Anolis sagrei: one gene and its partner. The protein of the gene in region 1 purifies or fractionates together with the protein of each later gene. This does not show direct contact. Links are inferred from orthologs where the notes say so. Each region holds a gene or a part of one and is shown on either strand. Other genes may lie near its edges. The genes, in order: PIDD1 and CRADD.

Region 1 (10,394 bases):
TTCCACACAGCCATATAACCCAAAATATCAAGGCAGAAAATCCCACAATATCTGCTTTGAAGTGGGTTATCTGAATCCACACTGCTGTATATTCCAGTTCAAATCAGATAATGTGGTGTTTTCTTCAGCTGTGTGGAAGGAGCCCCAGATGCAGGCGAAACATCAGGAACAGGGCCAAACAGCTCAGAAACCATACAATACTCCAGCGAGAGAAGCTTGTCTGAGAGGCTGAAGAGAACCAAAACAGATATAATTTTTTTAAAAATCATATTCAATGCAAAAAGGTTTATCAGCATACACATTCATACTTTTTAATAATGTATTGGGTTGGGTGTGTGTACACCACTGGACATTTTACAAAAGCATCAGGCATACTTAATAAAATACCTATTTTAAAAATGGCATCGCAATCCTAAATTTATTTTATTTTGAACAGAGGGACAAGCTAGCCTCTAAGAAACTCAAAGGAATATTGAAACATAAGTAAGGGAAAATAAGTTCCCCTACCAACACCTAAGAATACACATGAAGGCAAAAATATACCCATGAATTGCTACACACACAATTTTAAGTTACAGTATTAATTCCATCCTAATATTATAATTAGTCAGCAGTTATCTGTGACCTGTTAGCGGATTATTCAAAAAAATATAACGATAAACGTCCTCACATTTGAAGTTGCAGCCCAGAAAATCCAAGCTAAATTTGTTAAGTCCACAGCGGAGGCTAAAAATGAAAATGGAAATCGTTTGGGACAATGCAAATCAGATTTTGTTATTGTTACCCTGCCTATAGGGATTGTCACTGCTACTGTAATTTGAAAGAGCTTGTTCAGAGAATAAGTTTTAATATTTATATTGGAACGTGTATACTGTATTTTTAAAAGATGTATATTATTTGATGTTATGGCCTATGGGTAGTACAATAAACAAGTCATTCATTAAATATTATCATTATGTGCTGATGATGGAAAGGCTGTGCCTACCTGGCATCTTGCGCATGTCCACAGATAGTGACCCACCTGCATGGGTCTCCAAGGATGTCACACCCTGAAGTGGTGCATGCCGCTATACAGCCAAGACATCAGGGAGCAACCTCCCATCAACTGCAGTTCAATCAAAACTTTATTCCAAAGGGGATTCAGGGTAAAAACAAAGCCCTTTCAGTGAAAAATAATGGAACCTGCAAGCCTAAACAACAGCAAGTGCTGTTGAAAACCATAAGTTTACATCTGAGTAAACAGGCGATTCTGCCAAGAAAAGAATGCCAAAGACCTCATTCCTGCAGATTTCTCCATTGCATATTTACTCAAAAGGAAACCCCATGAGTTCAGTTCCTCTGTGAACATGCATATGTTTGAAACCTGGGGCTACAATTTTCTAATCCTTTCCTGGAAGCAAGTCCCACTGAACAGAGCAAAGTCTATTTGGACCAAAAATTATTGCCATGCAGTTACCTTTGAGTACAAGAGATTTCAGGCCCTTCAGGGCAGGAATGATGCTAAGGGTGGAAGCAATACAGTCCTCGTTGCAGCTCAGTCTCAGGAATTCCACCTGCTCCACTTCTTCCCTTCGCGTCTCAAACAGCCGAAGGAAGAAAAGGCAGCCCTCTGCATAGACGTCCAAGTTGAGCCGGTTGCCAGCCAAGCAAGAGCTGGCAGGCCTCTCAGCGCCCCAAGCCCCCTCCCCCAGGGGGTCCCCAAGCTCCTTCCGCCCTGCCATCTTCTGGTGTTACATTGCCCTCGGCTGTTCATGTTCCGACTTGCCAATCAAACAAGAGCTGGTGGTACCACAAATAATTAGGAGCGGAAATGTCGGAGAGAAGCTGCCTCTGGAAAGAAAGTGAGGAAGAAGAAAAACATTTTAAAAGCACACAGATTTGAAGAAATGATCAGGACCAAAAAAGGAACAGAAATTTTACTTGAAGCAGTTAAGGTATCAGATATAAATATTGCCAGAATCCAGTAAGACATCCTTTAGCTGGAAATGTATTTAAGATAAAGGTTTCCCCTTGACATTAAGTCCAGTCGTGTCCAACTCTGGGGGGCGGTGCTCATTTCCATTTCCAAATCAAAGAGCTGGCGTTGTCCGTAGACACCTTCAAGGTCATGTGGCTGGCATGACTGCATGGAGCACTGTTACCTTCCCACAGAAGTGGTAGCTATTGATCTACTCACATTTGCATATTTTCCAACTGCTAGATTGCCAGAAGCTGGGGCTGACAGCAGGAGCTCACCCTGTTCCCCAGATTTGAACTGCCAACCTTTCAGTCAGCAAGTTCAGCAGCTCAGTGGTTTAACCCACTGTGCCACCGGGGGCTCCTATTTAGTACGGATAATATGGCAAAGGGTCAAAGTGGGAACAAGAAATCTAAAGATTAAATGCATTCTGGGTGGATTAGTTACACGAGCCAACACATATTTTGATGCCTCAAACATTAGCCCTATTTCTGGGTATATCTGCCCTGCTGATTCCAAAAATGATACCAATTTTCCCCTATCAGCTGTAGTTTTTGAGATACAGAACATATGCCATATACCAGTCTTCATTTGCTCACCCACAGAAAACCTGCCTCATCACACATGGATGCACTTTAAATCCTGTTCCTGCCTCCTGCAGAATTTGGGGTTTGTAGTGAGGCTGTTAAATCCTCCTAAAGCACAAACACTAGAATTCTGCGGGAGGCAGAAACTGGATTTAAAGTGGATTCATTCTCTACTGTGATGATGTGAATACCACACCTAAGGAAGTAGAGCTGCTCCAATACAATTTTCTTAGGCCCTTTCCACACATCTGAATAAAATCCCACATTATCTGAACTGGAATATATGGCAGTGTAGACTCAGATAATCCAGTTCAAAGCAGATATTGTGGGATTTTCTGCCTTGATATTCTGACTTATATGGCTCTATGTATTTGGGGGTGGGGATGGGCTGGGCTGTTTCAAGCACCAAATCCCCATTCCACCCATTAATGCCAGCCACAGGGCCCTTCCCCACAGCCATGCAACCCAGAATGTCAAGGCAGAAAATCCCACAATATCTGCTTTGCATTGGGTTATCTGAATCCACACTGCTGTATATTCCAGTTCAAAGCAGATAATGTGGGGTTTCCTTCAGCTGTATGGAAGAGGCCTCTGATGCAGGTCAAACGTCAGGAGAAAGTCCTGCTGGAACAGGGCCAAACAGCCCAGAAACCATACAACACCCCAGTGAGGGAAGCTTGTCTTCTGCTGCTTGCACTGCTTGGTTCCGATTACAAAAAAGGTGATGATTAAATCCGTGGATGAATTTGCTAATACAGTAGTAATAGCAGTTGTTCAACAGTGGGTTAGATTACCTGGAGAGAAGTTAGAAGAGGTCCCTTTGGGAGGACCCTTCCACACAGCCTTGTAACCCAGAATATCAAGGCAGAAAATCCCCCAGTTTCTGCTTTGAACTGGGACATCTGAGTCCACACTGCCATATATCCCAGTTCAAAGCAGAAAATGTGGGGTTTCAGATGTATGGAAGGGGTCTTAGAATGTGTTCAGCACAGTTTGGATGTCTTTGGGTTGCTGTGCTTGCAAGGGGTTGGACCAGACCAACCATGGGTTACTTTCTAACTTATTATTGAAGGCTTTCATGGCCGGAATCATTGGGTTGTTGTAGGTTTTGGGGACTGTATGGCCTGCATCTATGGCAGGCATCCTCAGGGGTTGTGCGGTCACAACCTCTAAGGCCCGTCGCAAACTAGGTTCCTGCTGGAGAAACCCTTGCTAGCAAGTCCTTGATGTCATGAGCCTGCGCCTCTCTCCCCGCCCCTTTCTCCACCCCTTTCTCTTTGCGAGCGTGGTTTTTCCTTTGCTAGGGCAGCATTGCCCGCATTTTCTCTCAGTTGAATTCTGCCAACTGAGAGAAAATGCGGGCAATGCTGCCCTAGCAAAGGAAAAACCACGCTCGCATGGAGAAAGGGGCAGAGAAAGGGGCGGGGCGAGAGGCGGAGTCTCGTGACGTCAGGGACATGCTAGCAAGGTTTTCTCTCGCAGGAACAGAGTTTGCGACGGCTCTAAGGACCTCACAACCTCTGAGGATGCCTGCCATAGATGCAGGCGAAACGTCAGGAGGGAATGCTTCTAGAACGTGGCCATACACCCCGAAAAAACCTACAGCAACCCAGTACTTTCCAACTGTTGGACTCAAGTTGTAGTGTGAAGGAATGAGAGATGCCAAACTCAGGCTAAACCAGGCATAGGCAAACCTGGGCCCTCCGGGTGCTTTGGACTTCAACTCCCACCATTCCTAACATCCTACTGGAGGGCCGAAGTTGGCCCGTGCCCGCTTGTGGACGCGCGCGCCTGCACGCTCCTTTCCAGGCGTGGAGAGAGGGGAGCCTTACCGCGGCCGGGAGGAGGACATTCTCACCCGTCTCTTTCTTCCTGGGAGTTTGAGAGAGGTCACGGTTTCCAACGAGGACCCGCTCCCACACCCCCGGCCGCCTTGGCACCTTCCCGCTGCAAGAACTCCAAACTTTTCCCCTTAAAGAGGCCGCTCCCTCCCGCTTCCCCGGTCAGTCACTCCACGCGCTTCCTTGCAGCTCCCCCACGGGAGGCGGAGGGTTACTCCGAAAAGGAAGCGAAGCGGCCGGTTTGGGGCAGCGGGGAGGGGCCGGGAGAGGCGCGCCTTCCCAGCCAGAGCTCCCGCCTCTCCTTTCTGTCGCTGTGCGGTGCTTTCAAGTCATTTCTAACACTATGTAAAATGCTGCCTTTTCATAGACCCCAAGGGCCATCTCCCCAACCCGGCCCCCATTCTGCCATTCAGGAACACACAATCTAAGCACCCCCGACAGATGGCCATTCAGCCTCTGCTTCAAAACCTCCAAAAAAGGAGAACCCACCACTCTCCAAAGCGGCACAGTCCCATGTCAAACAGCGAATACCATCTGGAAAATATTCCTAATGTTGGATGTTGTGATTATTACTTACCAATAACACAGACAATCTCCGTGTCATGGTTTTTAAGCCTTTTCCTGTGGTTATTTGAGGTGCTGATTTAGAAAACTGCATTGGGTAGACCACATCAGCTTTAGTTCTGCTGTATTTAGAAAACTAGAGTTCTTAAGCCACCAGATACTACATTATCTGACTCTATCAATCCCCACCAATGTTGGTTAACTGATAGACCATTGCATGCATAAAAGGTGCAAACTTAATAGCAATTTGCATTATGACCTTATTAGGGAGTAAACTTCAAAGGGCACAGAGGGTTCACTTTTGAATGACCAAGATCTGTGTTCTAAATACTTCTTCAAAGGCACTATTCAGCTTTAATGGAATGTATGAGTGCAAACAAAGTGAAGTTTAACTCAGACAAGACAGTGATACTCCTGGTCAATCGAAAGACAGATCTGGGAATAGGGATTCAGCCTGAAAACACTGGAAAATGCAGAAAATGCAAATTGAAGCTTAATCCAGACAAGACAGGCGTGCTCTTAGTAAGTAAACAGATCTGGGAGTAGGGAGTCAGCCTGTGTTAGTTGGGTTTACACTCCCCCTGAAAACACAGATTAGCAGGTCAGGATTTGGCTCTGAACCTGGAGGTTCAGCTATCAGCAGTGACGAGGGGTGCTTTTGCACAGTTAAAGCTATTGTGCCAAATGCACTAGTTCCTAGTGATGTCTGATCTGACCACAGTGGTTCATGCCTTGGTTACATCCTGGTTGGACTACTGTAATGTGCTCTACATGGGGCTGCCTTTGAAAAGTGCTCAGAAACTTCAGTTGGTCCAGAGTTGCAGCCAGACTGCTAACTGGGGCTGGCTACAGGGAGGAGACAACTCCTCTGTTGCAACAGATCCATTGGCTGTCAACACATTTCCAGGCACAGTACTGGTTTTGACCTACAAAGCTGTATATGGCTTAGGTCCAGGTTTTTTGAAAGACTACATCTCTTTGTATGAACCTGGGAGGCATCTATGATCTGCTGGGGAGGGCATTCTCTCGGTCCCACCACATGCTCAAGGGCAGTTGGTGGGAACGCAGGAGAGGGCCCTTTCAGTGGCTACTACCAGGCCGTGGAGCTCCCTTCCAAGAGACACCAGGATGCCCATCCCTGCTGGCCTTTTGAAGGCAGAATGTAGACCTTTATGTGCCAGGCGACACTTGGGGAAGGACAAGGTGCAGGCTTTGGAGAGGTTGTGGGTGGGATTGTGAGTTTTAAATGCAATGTTAACCTAAATCCATGCAGTACTATTTGTTTTTAAATTTTTGTATTTTCTATGTCTTAAATTGTGCTGTGATTGTGTGACTGTTAGCCGCCTTGAGGCCCCATTGGGGTGAAAGGCAGGGTACAAATAACATAAATTAATAAACAAAACTGCATGTCTACTCGGGATATAATCCCAAATCACACACCTGCCATTTATCAAGCCGTTCCCGTCAGGAGCCGAAGTTCCAAAATCTACTCCCAGTTCACAAAAAAATGTTGTTCAAGAGTACTCTTCGCAGAGAAGGCTACAGACTTTGTCAAAATGTTCACAAACTAGATTAGACATGGGTAAACTTCATCCCTCCAGGTGTTTAGGACTTCAACTCCCACAATCCCTAAGTATTGGAAATAGCAACCTTCCAAGCCCCCACGGACTGTTTGTTAATGTATATACAATTGTTAGCCTGCATTCTATGTGTGTTTTGATTTGTCAGTTTGGCTGTACCTCTTTGATGTGGGAGGAGTTATAGATGTGATTGTACTGAGCATGTGCAAACTCAGGACTCCTTTTTGTGTTCTATATGCTTATAGATTTCAATAAGAGAAGTTTGGTTTCAGACCTCTTTGGAGGTGGATGTGTGTGCTCATGAACTTACAAGACTATGTGCTTGTACACTGAATATATACAAGTTTGTTACTAAATAAGATATTTTGTTTTTCAAAGACTACTTTTCCCCCCGCCTTGAAGGAACCTGCTGGCCTGAGCCTCCCTCCAGCCTTGCGTGCTCTCCCTCGCACTATGCTGCCGTGTGCTGAGCATGCCTGCTCTCCCCTCTCCACTTGAGTGCATGTTTTAAGGGAGTGTATATCTTTTGGGCAACAGCAAATTCTACTTCAAACAACCATCTTCTTTTATCCAGATATATTTTTTGAAGTGGCTTGTCTTTTATCCTTGGCTGTTTAAAGACATGTTCCTCAGTTTAACAGCCGAGCTACCTGTGTGCTGTTACATTGTTTTATGAGTATCACCTTGTCTTAAGGGTTATAGCCTGTGCTTGACGGGGTTACACTCCCCCTGAAGGCGCAGGTTCGCAGCTTGGGAGTGATCCTGGACTCATCACTGAGCCTGGAACCCCAGGGGAGCTTTTGCACAATTAAAACTTGTGCGCCAGCTGTGCCCGTATCTTGGGAAGTCTGACTTGGCCACGGTGGTACATGCTCTGGTTACATCCCGTATAGACTACTGCAATGCTCTCTACGTGGGGTTGCCTCTGAAGACTGCCCGGAAGCTACAACTAGTACAAGAGCGGCAGCCAGATTACTAACGGGAGCGGGGTACAGGGAGCATACTACTCCTCTGTTGCGCCAGCTCCACTGGCTGCCAATCAGCTTCCGAGCACAATTCAAAGTGCTGGTGTTGACCTATAAACTCCTAAACGGCTCTGAACCTATTTACCTGTCCAAACGGATTCTCCCCTATGAACCATCAAGGTTGTTAAGATCTTCTGGAGGGGCCCTGTTCTCAGTCCCACCACCTTCGCAATCGCGTTTGGTGGGGACGAGGGACAGGGCCTTTTCGGTGGTGGCCCCTCGGCTTTGGAACTCCCTCCCGATGGAGATTAGATCTGCCTCTTGCCTCCTGAAGTTTAGAAAGCAGGTAAAAACATGGCTTTGGGATACTGCATTCACAGATTGATGACTGAGTCAATAACTACTGACCTTTCTGGCGGATGGTGATGAATTTGTGATTCTTTTGGACGAACTGATTTTTGCTGTAATTTGTATGAAGTGTATTTTAATGTATTTTATATTGATGACCTATAATGTTTTTCTTATTGTATTGAATTTTATGTTGTTAGCCAGCCTGAGTCCCTCCCCAGAGGTGAGAAGACCGGGGTATAAAAACTCTAAATAAATAAATAAATAAATAAATAAGGGGTGACTTCTAACAAGGCCATACTTTTTTTTTTGGACTGTTGGTTTTCAATAGAGATTCACATTTGCCAAACGGAGGTGACACCATTTTTACCTTTGCAGTAATTTCCAAAAGATTATGGACATTCCAATACTAACAGCCTACCAGCTTTTAGGACTTGTGGGAGCTGAAATCCAAAACACCTGGAGGGCTGGTTTGCCCATGCCTGAACTAGATTCATTCTACACCCTGACTCTAAGTCAGGCAGGCAGGGGCAGATTTTGGCCTTTCCTCCAGGTGTTTTGGACTTCAACTCCCACCATTCCTGACAGCCTCAGGCCCTTTCCTTTTCACCCTCAGCCGCTTTGGGAGGAAGGCCAAAATCTGCCCCTTCCTGCTCTAAGTCGAAGGGAAGCTTCCCGGAAGATGACTTTTATAGCGCAGTGACGTGGCTGCTGCCAATCATCCCATTGGCGATTGGATCTTTTTCCACCAATACCCAACCGGTTTACTGGGAGGTGGCGGGAAGAACCCCGCGCTGTAGGCTCCTCCCCTTCCTTTTCGCCGTTGCCGTCGTCGAGAGCGCACGTCCCGAGGCCCGGCGTTTGCCCAAGAACGCGTCCAAGTAGGTGCTTTTGAGGGTTCCCCCCCGCCCCCCTGTAGTTGGATGCGCTCGGGTCGCATGCCGTCTCCTTGAGCCCGTTGCGCGAATGTAGGGGCTGGAGTGGACGATACCATGTGCGGCGGCTGGGGAGGGGGGGGGTGATATGGCGGCCATGTGCTTCCTGAGTCCTAGGAAAAGAAGGAGGAGGAGGAAATGGTGGCGGCCTCCATGAACGAAGAGGGAACATGAGCAGCTCGATGCCGCGTGGGGAAGGCCTCTGAACCTACTTTCTTACAGTTTGAAGCATTTGGCTGCAAAGTATAAGAAACTTAGGCGGAAGCAAATACTGAGAAATGAGAGAGTGCCTTTTCTCTTTGGGAGGCCTACTCTGATCAGCTTTCTGGAGTGGCTTTCACGCCCTTTCTTCCCCTTGTAGGGCTTTACGACGCAGTAAAGGCATACCATGGTACTTTCCTCTACTTTTGCTGTTCTGCTTTCTCGGTTGCAGCAATCATGAGGGCATCTACACTGTAGAATTGATGCAGTTTGGCTTCGCTTTTAGGCTCAATGCCATGGAATCCTAGGAGCTTCGGTTTAGTGAGTCGCCAACACTCTTTGGTGGAGAAGTATTCCCTAGCATTTGAGCTTTGGCACTTAAAACAGTGTTAAACTATATTAATTCAAAACAAATAATAATAATAATAATAATAATTTATTTATTTATTTATTATTTCAACTTATATGCCGCCACTCCCCTAGGGCTCGGAGCGGCTTACAAGAATAGCTAAAATCTAACAAAATTTAAAAGCAGTTTAAATAATAATAATAATAATAATCTTTATTTATACCCTGCCACCATCTCCCCGAAGGTGACTCGGGGCGACTAACATGAGGCCAAGCCCGAAGATACAATATCTATATACATAAAAATTTAATGTTTGTTTGTGGGATTAACATAATTCAAAAAACCACTGGACAAATTGACACAAAATTTGGGCACAATACACCTAACAGTCCAACAAGTGTCCATCACCCATAAACACACATACACACAGAACCCCAGTGGAACAGACTTAAAACCCCCAAAAATCCACCATATATACATATACACATACACTCATATACATATGCACACATTCATACACACGCGTATATATGCACAAACACACACAAATATACACACGTGTATATATATATACACACATACCCACATATATACATGCACACATACATATACACATGCACGCACATATACATGCACACATACATATATACATATAAATACAAATATGCATATAAACAAGCACACACATATACACAATATGCATGTACACCTATAAACACACATATATATACACACACAAAAACACATATACACAGACGGCCACAGCAATGTGTGACAGGACAGCTAGTAACTGAATAAAATACAAAATTCAGACAACAAAGCCACATCAGAATAAAATACATAAAATAAATATAACAAATAAATGTCATATAAATCGAACAAAATGGGCAGGCCAAATGGGCGAGGTAAAATGATAAAACCCTGGATGAGGTAAGAATACAAAAAAGTGTAATTGAGAGGAGCCCAAAAGGGATGAAGAGTGGCATTAGTCTTTCAGTTTAGAAAGGGGGAAAGTGCATCAGAGGGGCAACACTGTGGATGGAACAAACAGAAATAGGATAAGTAGT
Region 2 (10,211 bases), on another chromosome or scaffold:
TGCATAGAATTATGGAAAATATAGACCCCTGTCTGATCCCACAGCAAGCTGGCTTCAGAAAAAGCAAAAGCTGCACATCGCAAGTGCTGAACCTGACTCAGCACATAGAAGATGGTTTTGAAAGGCAGCAGATCACAGGAGCTGTCTTCATAGACTTGTCAGCAGCCTATGATACTGTGAACCACCGCCTCCTCCTGAGAAAAATGTATAATATCACAAAGGACTACCACCTCACCCGCCTCATAAGAAACCTGCTACAAAACAGGAGCTTTTTTGTTGAGTTCCAGTGCCAGAGAAGCAGATGGCGAAAACAGAAGAACGGCCTGCCTCAGGGGAGCGTGCTTGCTCCATCCATGTTCTACATCCACACAAATGACCAGCCACTGCCAGAAGGGACAGAGAGTTTCATCTATGCTGATGATCGTGCCATTACTGCTCAAGCAGGGAGCTTTGAGATGGTTGAACAGAAGCTCTCCGAAGCTCTAGGTGCTCTTACTGCCTATTACAGGGAAAACCAGCTGATCCCTAATCCATCTAAAACACAGACATGCGCCTTTCACCTTAAGAACAGACAAGCATCCCGAGCTGTGAGGATTACCTGGGAAGGAATCCCACTGGAGCATTGCAACACACCCAAATACTTGGGAGTCACTTTGGACCGTGCTCTGACCTACAAGAAGCACTGCCTGAACATCAAACAAAAAGTGGGTGCTAGAAACAACATCATATGAAAGCTGACTGGCACAACCTGGGGATCACAACCAGGCACAGTGAAGACATCTGCCCTTGCGCTATGCTACTCTGCTGCTGAGTATGCATGCCCAGTGTGGAACACATCTCACCACACTAAAACAGTAGATGTGGCTCTTAATGAAACATGCCGCATTATCACAGGGTGTCTGCGCCCCACACCACTGGAGAAAGTACACTGCTTAGCCGGTATTGCACCACCTGACATCCGCCAGGAAGTAGCAGCCAATAGTGAAAGGATCAAGGCAGAGACATCTCCAGCCCATCCCGTTTGGGTATCAGCCAGCACGTCAACGACTTAAATCAAGACATAGTTTTCTTAGATCTACAGAGACACTCGCTGGAACACCCCAGCAAGCGAGAGTCCAAAAGTGGCAGGCCCAAACCCAGCACCTCAATTCATGGGTGATACCAGATGAGAGACTCCCCCCCTGGGCACTCAGAAGACTGGGCGACTTGGAAGGCGCTGAACAGACTGCGCTCTGGCACCACGAGATGCACAGTCAATCTTAAGAAATGGGGCTACAGGGTGGAATCCTCGGCATGCGAGTGCGGAGAAGAGCAAACCACTGACCACCTGCTGCAATGCACCCTGAGCCCTGCCACATGCACAATGGAAGACCTTCTTGCGGCAACACCAGAGGCACTCTAAGTGGCCAGATACTGGTCAAAGGACATTTAACCAAATACCAAATTTGCAAAATCTGTGTGTGTTTTTTTCCCTTTTTCTTTTTAATCTGTGTGTTTGTTTTGCTCTGTTAGAATTGTAATACAATGGTTGCTGATGACACGATAAAATAAATAAATAAATAAATATTACGTGCAGCTACTTTGTGCTAGGTGTTCAAGCAGTGTTCAACACTGCTTGGGTGTTCATTTTATGTCTTATCTTTCTTCCATGGAGTCTGCGTTTGGGGGCCATCTTGATGGCCAACATGGATTGAATTAACCTGTGATCTGTGCAGCAGCCAGCAGCCCTTGTCATGACTCTTGTGAGAAGCCCGTTGCAGCAGTCTCTAGCATGCATCATTACATAGTCTAAGAAGTGGTAACATCTAATATGTTACAAATACATTTTTCAAAAGTGAGGAGGAGCTGAGGAGCCTTCTAACCAAGGTGAGAGAAGAAAGTGCAAAAGCTAGGTTGTAGTTAAACATCAAAACAACCAAGATTATGGCAACAAGAATGATTGATAACTGGGAAATAGAGGGAGAAAACGTGGAGGCAGTTACAGACTTTGTATTTCTAGGTGCAAAGATTACTGCAGACGCAGACTGCAGCCAGGAAATCAGGAGACGCTTGGGAGGAGAGCAACGACCAATTTCGATAAAATATTGAAGAGTAGAGACATCACACTGGCAACAAAGATCCGCCTAGTCAAAGCAATGGTATTCCCCATAGTAACCTACGGATGTGAGAGCTGGACCATAAGGAAGGCTGAGCGAAGGAAGATAGATGCTTTTGAACTGTGGTGCTGGAGGAAAGTTCTGAGAGTGCCTTGGACAGTGAGAAGATCCAACCAGTCCATACTCCAGGAAGTAAAGCCCGGCTGCTCATTGGAGGGAAGGATACTAGAGACAAAGTTGAAGTACTTTGGCCACATCATGAGACAGCAAAGCCTAGAGAAGACAATTATGCTGGGGAAAATGGAAGGAAAAAGGAAGAGGGGCCGACCAAGGGCAAGATGGATGGATGGTATCCTTGAAGTGACTGGCTTGACTCTGAAAGAGCTGGGGGTGGTGACAGCTGACAGGGAGCTCTGGTGTGGGCTGGTCCAGGAGGTCACAAAGAGTCGGAAACGACTGAACGAATGAACAACAACAACCCATTGGATTGTTCTTATTAAATTGTATTTTTTGTTACAAATAGCCTTTAATGTTTGTTTCTTTATGATAATCAACTAGAATGTCCTATGGTTGCAGTATGATAGCTTACACCAGGGGTCCTCAAACTAAGGCCCGGGGGCCGGCTGCGGCCCTCCAAGGTCATTTACCCGGCCCTCACTCAGGGTCAACCTAAGTCTGTAACGACTCAAAAGCACACAACAATAACAACAATCCTATCTCATCTGCCAAATGCAGGCCCACACTTCCCACTGAAATACTAAAAAATTTATAGTTCTTAAAATTGTTCTTGATTTAAATGATTGTATTGTTTTTAAGTGGCTTTTGCACTACAAATAAGATATGTGCAGTGTGCATAGGAATTCATTCATTTTTTTTCAAATTATAATCCGGCCCTCCGACAGTTTGAGGGACTGTGACCTGGCCCTCTGTTTAAAAAATTTGAGGACCCCTGGCTTACACAATTATGGAGATACATATACGTAGTGCGGAAAACCCTAACGTTTACTCTCTGCTCAATGACTCAATTTTATGGCCATTGCCTATTTGCCGTGTTTTAAACTACTTTTTTTCTTTTTGAAACGTCCACACAGTCAAGCATTTTTATTCTGTTATTTAAACACTTGAGGCTTTGGCGTCCTGTGTGTTACATCTTTGCAAAGACAATACATGTACAGTAGCAAGAGCCTGGCAATAAAACCACAAAATATTAAATTAAAATAAAGTCCAGTATATTAAACCTATGCCAAATGAAAACCTTTCATGGGAGTTCAGGTTATGTAAGTAGATCCCTTCAACGTTGTTTTGAAAATAAATAAACAACGCGTAGGAAACGTCAGGAAGCTTGTATAGGCTTTAAAAATGGGAAAGAAATGCAGAGAAAACCTCCAAAGGAAGCTTTAAAAAGGGGGAAAGAAGAAACTGCCCAATCCGGAGTCAAACCTTTTATGTGAAAGTACTTACAACTCTAAGCGCGGGAATCATAAGTCAAAAAACCCTGGTGGGAACGGCAAAGGTTACCATGTTCCCTGTAGGAAGAATCGCCGAACAGGAAGTGGGCGGCCGCCATCTTTCTTCAGGGCAGAAGCTAAAGGACGGACACAGGGCAAACTGTAACCTGACAGACATAGCTTCTTGCCCGGACCGGAAGTTCCAGGGATCGTTTTGACGCCGCGGAGGAAACGTGACCGCTTTCGCGGAACAAAAGTAGGCATAAACTCGGGACTTCGCAGAGCTGTGAGCCAAGTGGAAAAGAAAGGTTTACAAAGCCTTTTAGAGCTACTTCTGTTTCCTGTTTCGAGGTGAGGGGAGTTTCACTGGGAGAGGCTTGGGATCAGACCTTGAGAAGATATATGGGGTGACCCCTCCCCCACAAATATATATGTAAATAAATATAGATTCATTGCGTTCCAAAAGTCGCCATATGTAGGGAAAATGGGAAATTGTAGCTGAATTTACCTTTATTCACAAACGATTAATTACACAATTGTACAAAATATTCTCTACATATTGATCCCTTGTTTATACACACAGGAAGTCAAAATGAATACAATGTAATACGTATTCATTTTGTATTTGTTTCCTATATATGAAAACTTTTGATTGTATATCTATGTGAGTGTATATCCTGTAAAAGTTTGTAATGGAGAATTCATTTCCTCCCAAAAGATGTACAAACCTTTAACTGTTCTTAACTCTGAATCCCCCCCCCCCCCCCACACACATGTATATAGTGTAGGCATGGGCAAACTTGGGGCCTCCAGGTGTTTTAGACTTCAACTTCCACAATTCCTAGCAGCTTCAGGCCCTTTTCTTTTCCCTTCCTTTTTCCTAACAGCTTCAGGCCCTTTCCTTTTCCCCTTCCTTTTCCTTTTCGTTTAAGCGGCTGAGGGGGGAAAGGAAGGGGCCCGAGACTGTTAGGAATTGTGGGAGTTGAAGTCCAAAACACCTGGAGGGCCCAAGTTTGCCCCATGCCTGATTTAGAGTCATCTCAGACTTCTGGAGTTTTGACTTTTCCGGATTTGATTAAAATATTGTCTCTAGAAATTTGTAGGTCTTCCCATGTAACACAATAGTCAACTTCGTTCTGTCATTCTGGAAGGGATTTCTAGAAAGAATGCCTCTCGGGCTGTGTATGTCCTCCAATGCAATTCTATGGTTAGTTTCCAGTGGAAGTTGGCCATACGTATAATCAAACTGCAAGATTGAGACATTTCTCGAGATATATTCTCAGGGTAAATTTTTAAAATTGTGGGTTTTTTTTATTTATTTATTGGAGTCTGTGCCCCTGACCTCAGAGAATCGCCTAACAGGTTATAATTCTAGATTTGTTTTGTGTCTTTTTTTTTTTGTCATGTCAGGAGCGACTTGAGAAACTGCAAGTCACTTCTGGTGTCTATATAAGGCATTAAACAATTGACATATGTAAGCTGTCTTGAGTTCCCCTTAGGGTAGGGAAAAGCAGGGTATAAATATCCCAAACAGTTCATAATTCTAAGGGCTTTCTTTTGGGGATTTTATTCTGAAAAATTTCATATTCTATTAACAGTTTATAATTCTGGGATCCCCCCCCCCCCTTTTTTAATGCACCCTTAATAGCCCAAAAAAACTCACAGCAACTCACTGTGTTCTTTGCAACTCTCCCTCATCTGTATTTTATTATTTATGCAGAATCTTAAAGTCTAACTTTAGAGCTCTGTCCTTCAAAAATGAAATTCAATGAAAAATTACTTTATAATTATAATATATGTATTTTGCTCCCCCCTCCAAAAACAGTATACTCTCTTTTTGTTGTAGGCAAACCATTCACAGGGTTTTTCTGGGAAGATTTGTACAGAAGGGGTTCCACATCTGCCTCAAAGGCTGAGAGAGTGTGCAGTTTATCAATCTGGGATTTATTTCCCAAAACACACTGTAGCAATGCCTTTATTAGACCCATTAAAATATGGAAAATATTATGTAAATGTTAAAACTCATAAGCTTTTTCATTAAACATACACAAACTTCTAAGTAAATGCTATTGGGTTGTGCTTTAAAACTAACCTGATAGTAATATCTTCTTTGCTGTTCTAGTCATCTCAACCCGGCAAAACAGTTTTATGTTTTTAACTGGTTATGGGAGGAGTACTAGTTTTTGTAAGTGACAACACTAAGCAATGCTTTTAATTGAATATATGTAAATTCAAGGTAGTGTTTTTAGATTGCATTCTTGTAACATTGTATGTATGGGCAAAAGAATTTACAGGACTGAAAATATGCATTCATGTTGAAAGCAACCATAAAGTGGGTATTTTTAAAATTATTTGAACAGCAGGTACTTGTGATAAAAATAGTTTCAGTACAATAACTTTATTTGTGGACTTCATTCCATTTGAAAAAGTTGTCTCAAATTATAAATGTCTCCTCAAATAATTTAATTGTTTTGTTTTTCCCTTGAGCTTTCAGGAAGCATTGAGTCTTCTTTCATGTCCAGTTGATTTTCAAAATGATTCCTATCCTGTAATGTTATAAGTATTTGTATTTTTAGAAATTAATGGGATATGTTCAGTTGTTTTGTTGCAAGGGTCTGTTTTTGGTTGATCAAAAGGTCTTTAATTAATCTAACCAGTGATGAGTCACTTAAAACACTAATTACAAAGAAAACTTGATGCACACTGAAAAAATAGAAGTACCTTGAGTGGCAATTGAAAATAATGGGGATAAAAGGAAAATTTGTTTTCAGTTTAAGTACTACACATTTAGAAGTGAACTAAAGAACTATGTGCCAGTTAATGATAATGCAAATGTTTGGCATAATGGGTTACAAAAAGTTCTTCGCAATTCTCCCTCATCTGTATTTTATTATTTATGCAGAGTAAATAATAAAATAAAAATGACATACAAGGAAAAATTAGTGGCATGAACAACACAGACAATATACATTCTGAGAAGCTGTGCTGAAATACAAAGCTGATTAGTGGTAGCATTGAAAAGGAAGGTTTTGGAGAGTCATCTGAACACATGGAAAGAAGGTGTAAGGCATAACCCTGCTTTTCCAAACCTGGTGTTTTAAAAATATAGTGACTTCTATAGAGTATTGGCCAGATTCTAGACATAGAACTGCATATGGGATGTAGTTTGGCATGCCAAATAATTTGTGGAGGAATTTCGAGTGGAAAGATCTGATGGCACTATTATTAGGGGTTAACCAAATGGGAGCTCCATAGAGTAGTTATGCTATTGCCTTTGTTTTTCAAACAAATAGGAAGTTCCTTTTTTTACAATTTATACTGTTTTGTTTTTTTACTGTTTTGCTATATATATGCCAATAAAGATCTATTGGATTGGATTGGATTAAAATATGTTGCACCACAATTCCCAGAATCCCCAATGGAGATGGTACTTGGTTTGGGAAGGCTGATTTAAGCCAAGAGGATTAACTTTATACTCCTATTTAAAAATATGTTACTTAATAAATGACAAAATTATGACTCACACCCAGTTTGACTGCATGCTGTTTCCTTTCATAACTCATGGCAGCGTTGGCTTCCAAGACAATATATCAAATGTCAAAAATGTGTCCAATGTCACATGTGCGAGTCACATCAGTTACTACTTGCTATCTAGCCGAACATGCTTATTGCATAAACTCAGACGAGTGTATATCTGAAGATTGTGGCAAAATTAGGATTAAAGCTGTACAACTTTGCTGCCATTGCAGTATATGTAAATCACATATCTTGAGTATGTAAGATTTGCTTCCAGCTGGACTATGTTTTGCTCCCTTCGAAAAAGCATAGTACAAAACCATGCTGATAGGTATGTTACTGGAATATATTATCCAGTCTTCCTAGCTAGAAGCTCCACTTTTTACTGTCCAAATAATATATAAGACATCTAAATGATATCTTATGCATTGTTTTATTATATATCATTTATATGCATTATTGATGGCAGTGGTTGTCAACCTTTGATCCTCTGTGGATTTGGATTCCAAGTTCCAGAATCCCTATTCGCTTTGAGGAGCTGAAATCAAGAATATTTGGATCTCACAGCTTTTCAAACAACAGAACTGGGAACAAATACATAGGTTTCCGCATCATTCCAAAATTACCCTCAGCTTTACTGAAACTTGCAATGCTTCCATGTTCGTGTTGACTATTTTAGGGCCTTTCTTAGGATCTTCAATAACCTTTATGGTGGGCTGAAGAAATGTTAACCTTGTATTATCTCATTGTCTTCAATGCTCTTTTGGGCCAAGCCATCTCATCCTTTTTACACAAGGATGTGACTTGAATGCTGGTTAGCCTCCTGTTCGTGAAAAGTCCATGTTGCATGCTATAATGAAATTTAGAGCAAATATGCTAAGCACTCCATTGCGGTTGTGCAGGGATAATCACAGATAAATGTAAAATCAAGTCTACTGGCAAAAAATCTTTTTTATGGTTCCAAGAAAGAAGAACTGCTGACGAGATCCTTTGAGGTTGTTGAATCAACTGAAATTACCAAATTCTCACTCAAGTCACATATTGAGTGGGGGAGAGAAAAAATACAGCAGATACATTATGCCTTTGCTCTTTGCCTGTGCTCGTTCTGAGAAGGAAGAGGAAAACTCAGGAGAGGAATATCTAGTGGAAACATTGCTTTTCCTAACAAGTCTATACTAGATTTGCCTAAAATAGTGACATTCTCAAAGTATTTAGATCTTTTAAATGTTAAAAATGCACTAGAAACAGGAGGATATGGACAGAATGGTAGATATTCTTGACCCAATGTATGTCAGCATAAGTAACTTTGGTGTGCTTCTTCAAAACACAAACCACCCACAAAGAGCATGGTGACCTACCCATAAGTAGTTCTTAATTACACCATTGTGGTTATGAAACAGAACGGCCTACCAATAATATGGGAGTTTCAAAAGCACATGGAACACTGGAATTTGGCTTGGTGTCAAATCCTGATACAACCGCTGATTTATTATGGGTAGGGTTGATGATATGCCAGAGATGCATGGGGAACCCTAGTTGTTGGTTAGTTAAGAGCAGTGCTTTGGTGTATATTGCTCAATTGCTCTAGCCATTGCATGGGAAAGACACAAAGCCAAGGATGCATGCTAATAACATTTAGTGACTCCTATTGCTACTGGGAGCAGTTGAGCATATATGCCAGTGGTTCTTATTTGTATTATCTGAACTAGGTCATTAAGTGACTTGCAACTAGTTATGCCCCAGCTTCACAACAATGTGTCTAAAAACTCTTGTCAATTATTTGACAAAGTTTTAGACATGTTGCTATGAAGCTAGGGCATAAAATTAGGGTTGTAACTCATTTTAGTGAAATGTATACATACGGAAATAGCGATCAATATTTTACAAATTGTATGTCTCTTGTAGGGGTTTTATATTAACTTTATTGCCGTATTTCATTCAACACTTACTCAGTGTTGTCTTTGCCTAAATGGTGGCAAAAGTGGTTATCCACTGGATAATCCTTAGCATCATATAAATTTTGAAAGCGAGGGAATCCGTTTTTCAATGATCACTTGTATTTTGTTCAACATTGCATATTTAAGGTTATTACACAGGGTCTGAAGTCAAAACAAGAGCCAAAGTACTTCTTGCCAACAGTTACCAACAAAATCTAGATTAATTAATCCCAATAATGCCAGACTTCAAAGGCTGATCACAGCTATCTTCATAATTTTACTATGAAGGTTCAAGAGATATGACACCACACCCCACTTCCTTATCTCGTCCATGACCAGCATCATTTTAAATTAATTACATTTGGCCCAGCCATAGATTGTAAAGTGTCTTGTACTATTGTCAATGCTTACGTTATTGTCGATGTGATTTATTTTAAATGCATGTATTGCTATTGTTATTGCTTGTATTGTTGTATTGTGGGCTCGGCCTCATGTAAGCCGCACCAAGTCCCTTGGGGAGATGGTAGCGGGGTATAAATAAAGTATTATTATTATTATTATTTTAAATAATTATACCCTTAACTGTGTTTTGTACTGGTAATGCTTTTCATTGCACAAAATAATAAAGAACTTAGACAACATTGATCACTTTCGGGTTTTTTTGCCTGCTGTAGATTGATAACATGGTCATGCTAGTTTTAAGACAACAGCATAGACAATATATGCAACCAGACTGCGTTTTGTTTTCATTTGTCTCCAGAGCAGCATTCCAGGTTGGATACTACAGAAGAGTGAAATGTCTCTACACTTAACTTGTCCAGTCCCTAACAGTCATCTCTCTCAGTTATTATATGGCTAAGAGGAGACGTAATTTCTCAGTAGTTGTAGGCTTGGCCAGCAGAGTTATCATCACAGATGAATACTGGAGTCATCAGTACCCATGGGAAAATGGTAAATGCTCCATCCCATTACAAGACAAGCATCAGGGAAGAGGATAAGGCTTGATCCATTAGTCCATCTTCATTCTTCCTTCACTAGAAGCCTTTCACATGATCCCATCCTTTCTTGGGAACTATGGACAGGAAGAGGGGCAATGTGGTGTCTGCAACTATTGCTACCACCAAGTAAACACCAGCATGTACTCATTCCCCCACATTGGTGAACTTATACTGCACACAAAACAGCATTGGGTCGATGAACATGTAAGTTTGTGT

The links.
Region 2: the proteins of PIDD1 (region 1) and CRADD purify together in Homo sapiens (affinity purification with western blotting; 8 studies listed by BioGRID and IntAct, with this or other methods). This does not show direct contact. The link is inferred for Anolis sagrei from reciprocal best matches to the Homo sapiens genes PIDD1 and CRADD.

What each region holds. Positions count from the first base shown.
Region 1 is NC_090021.1:241,100,508-241,110,901, forward strand, and holds the start of PIDD1 (p53-induced death domain-containing protein 1), read right to left. Parts: upstream 4,609-10,394; 5' UTR 4,377-4,608; intron 1,831-4,376; 5' UTR 1,722-1,830; coding exon 1,457-1,721; intron 1-1,456. UniProt on the Homo sapiens protein: Component of the DNA damage/stress response pathway that functions downstream of p53/TP53 and can either promote cell survival or apoptosis.
Region 2 is NC_090025.1:154,663,004-154,673,214, reverse strand, and holds the start of CRADD (death domain-containing protein CRADD), read right to left. Parts: upstream 3,829-10,211; 5' UTR 3,558-3,828; intron 1-3,557. UniProt on the Homo sapiens protein: Adapter protein that associates with PIDD1 and the caspase CASP2 to form the PIDDosome, a complex that activates CASP2 and triggers apoptosis.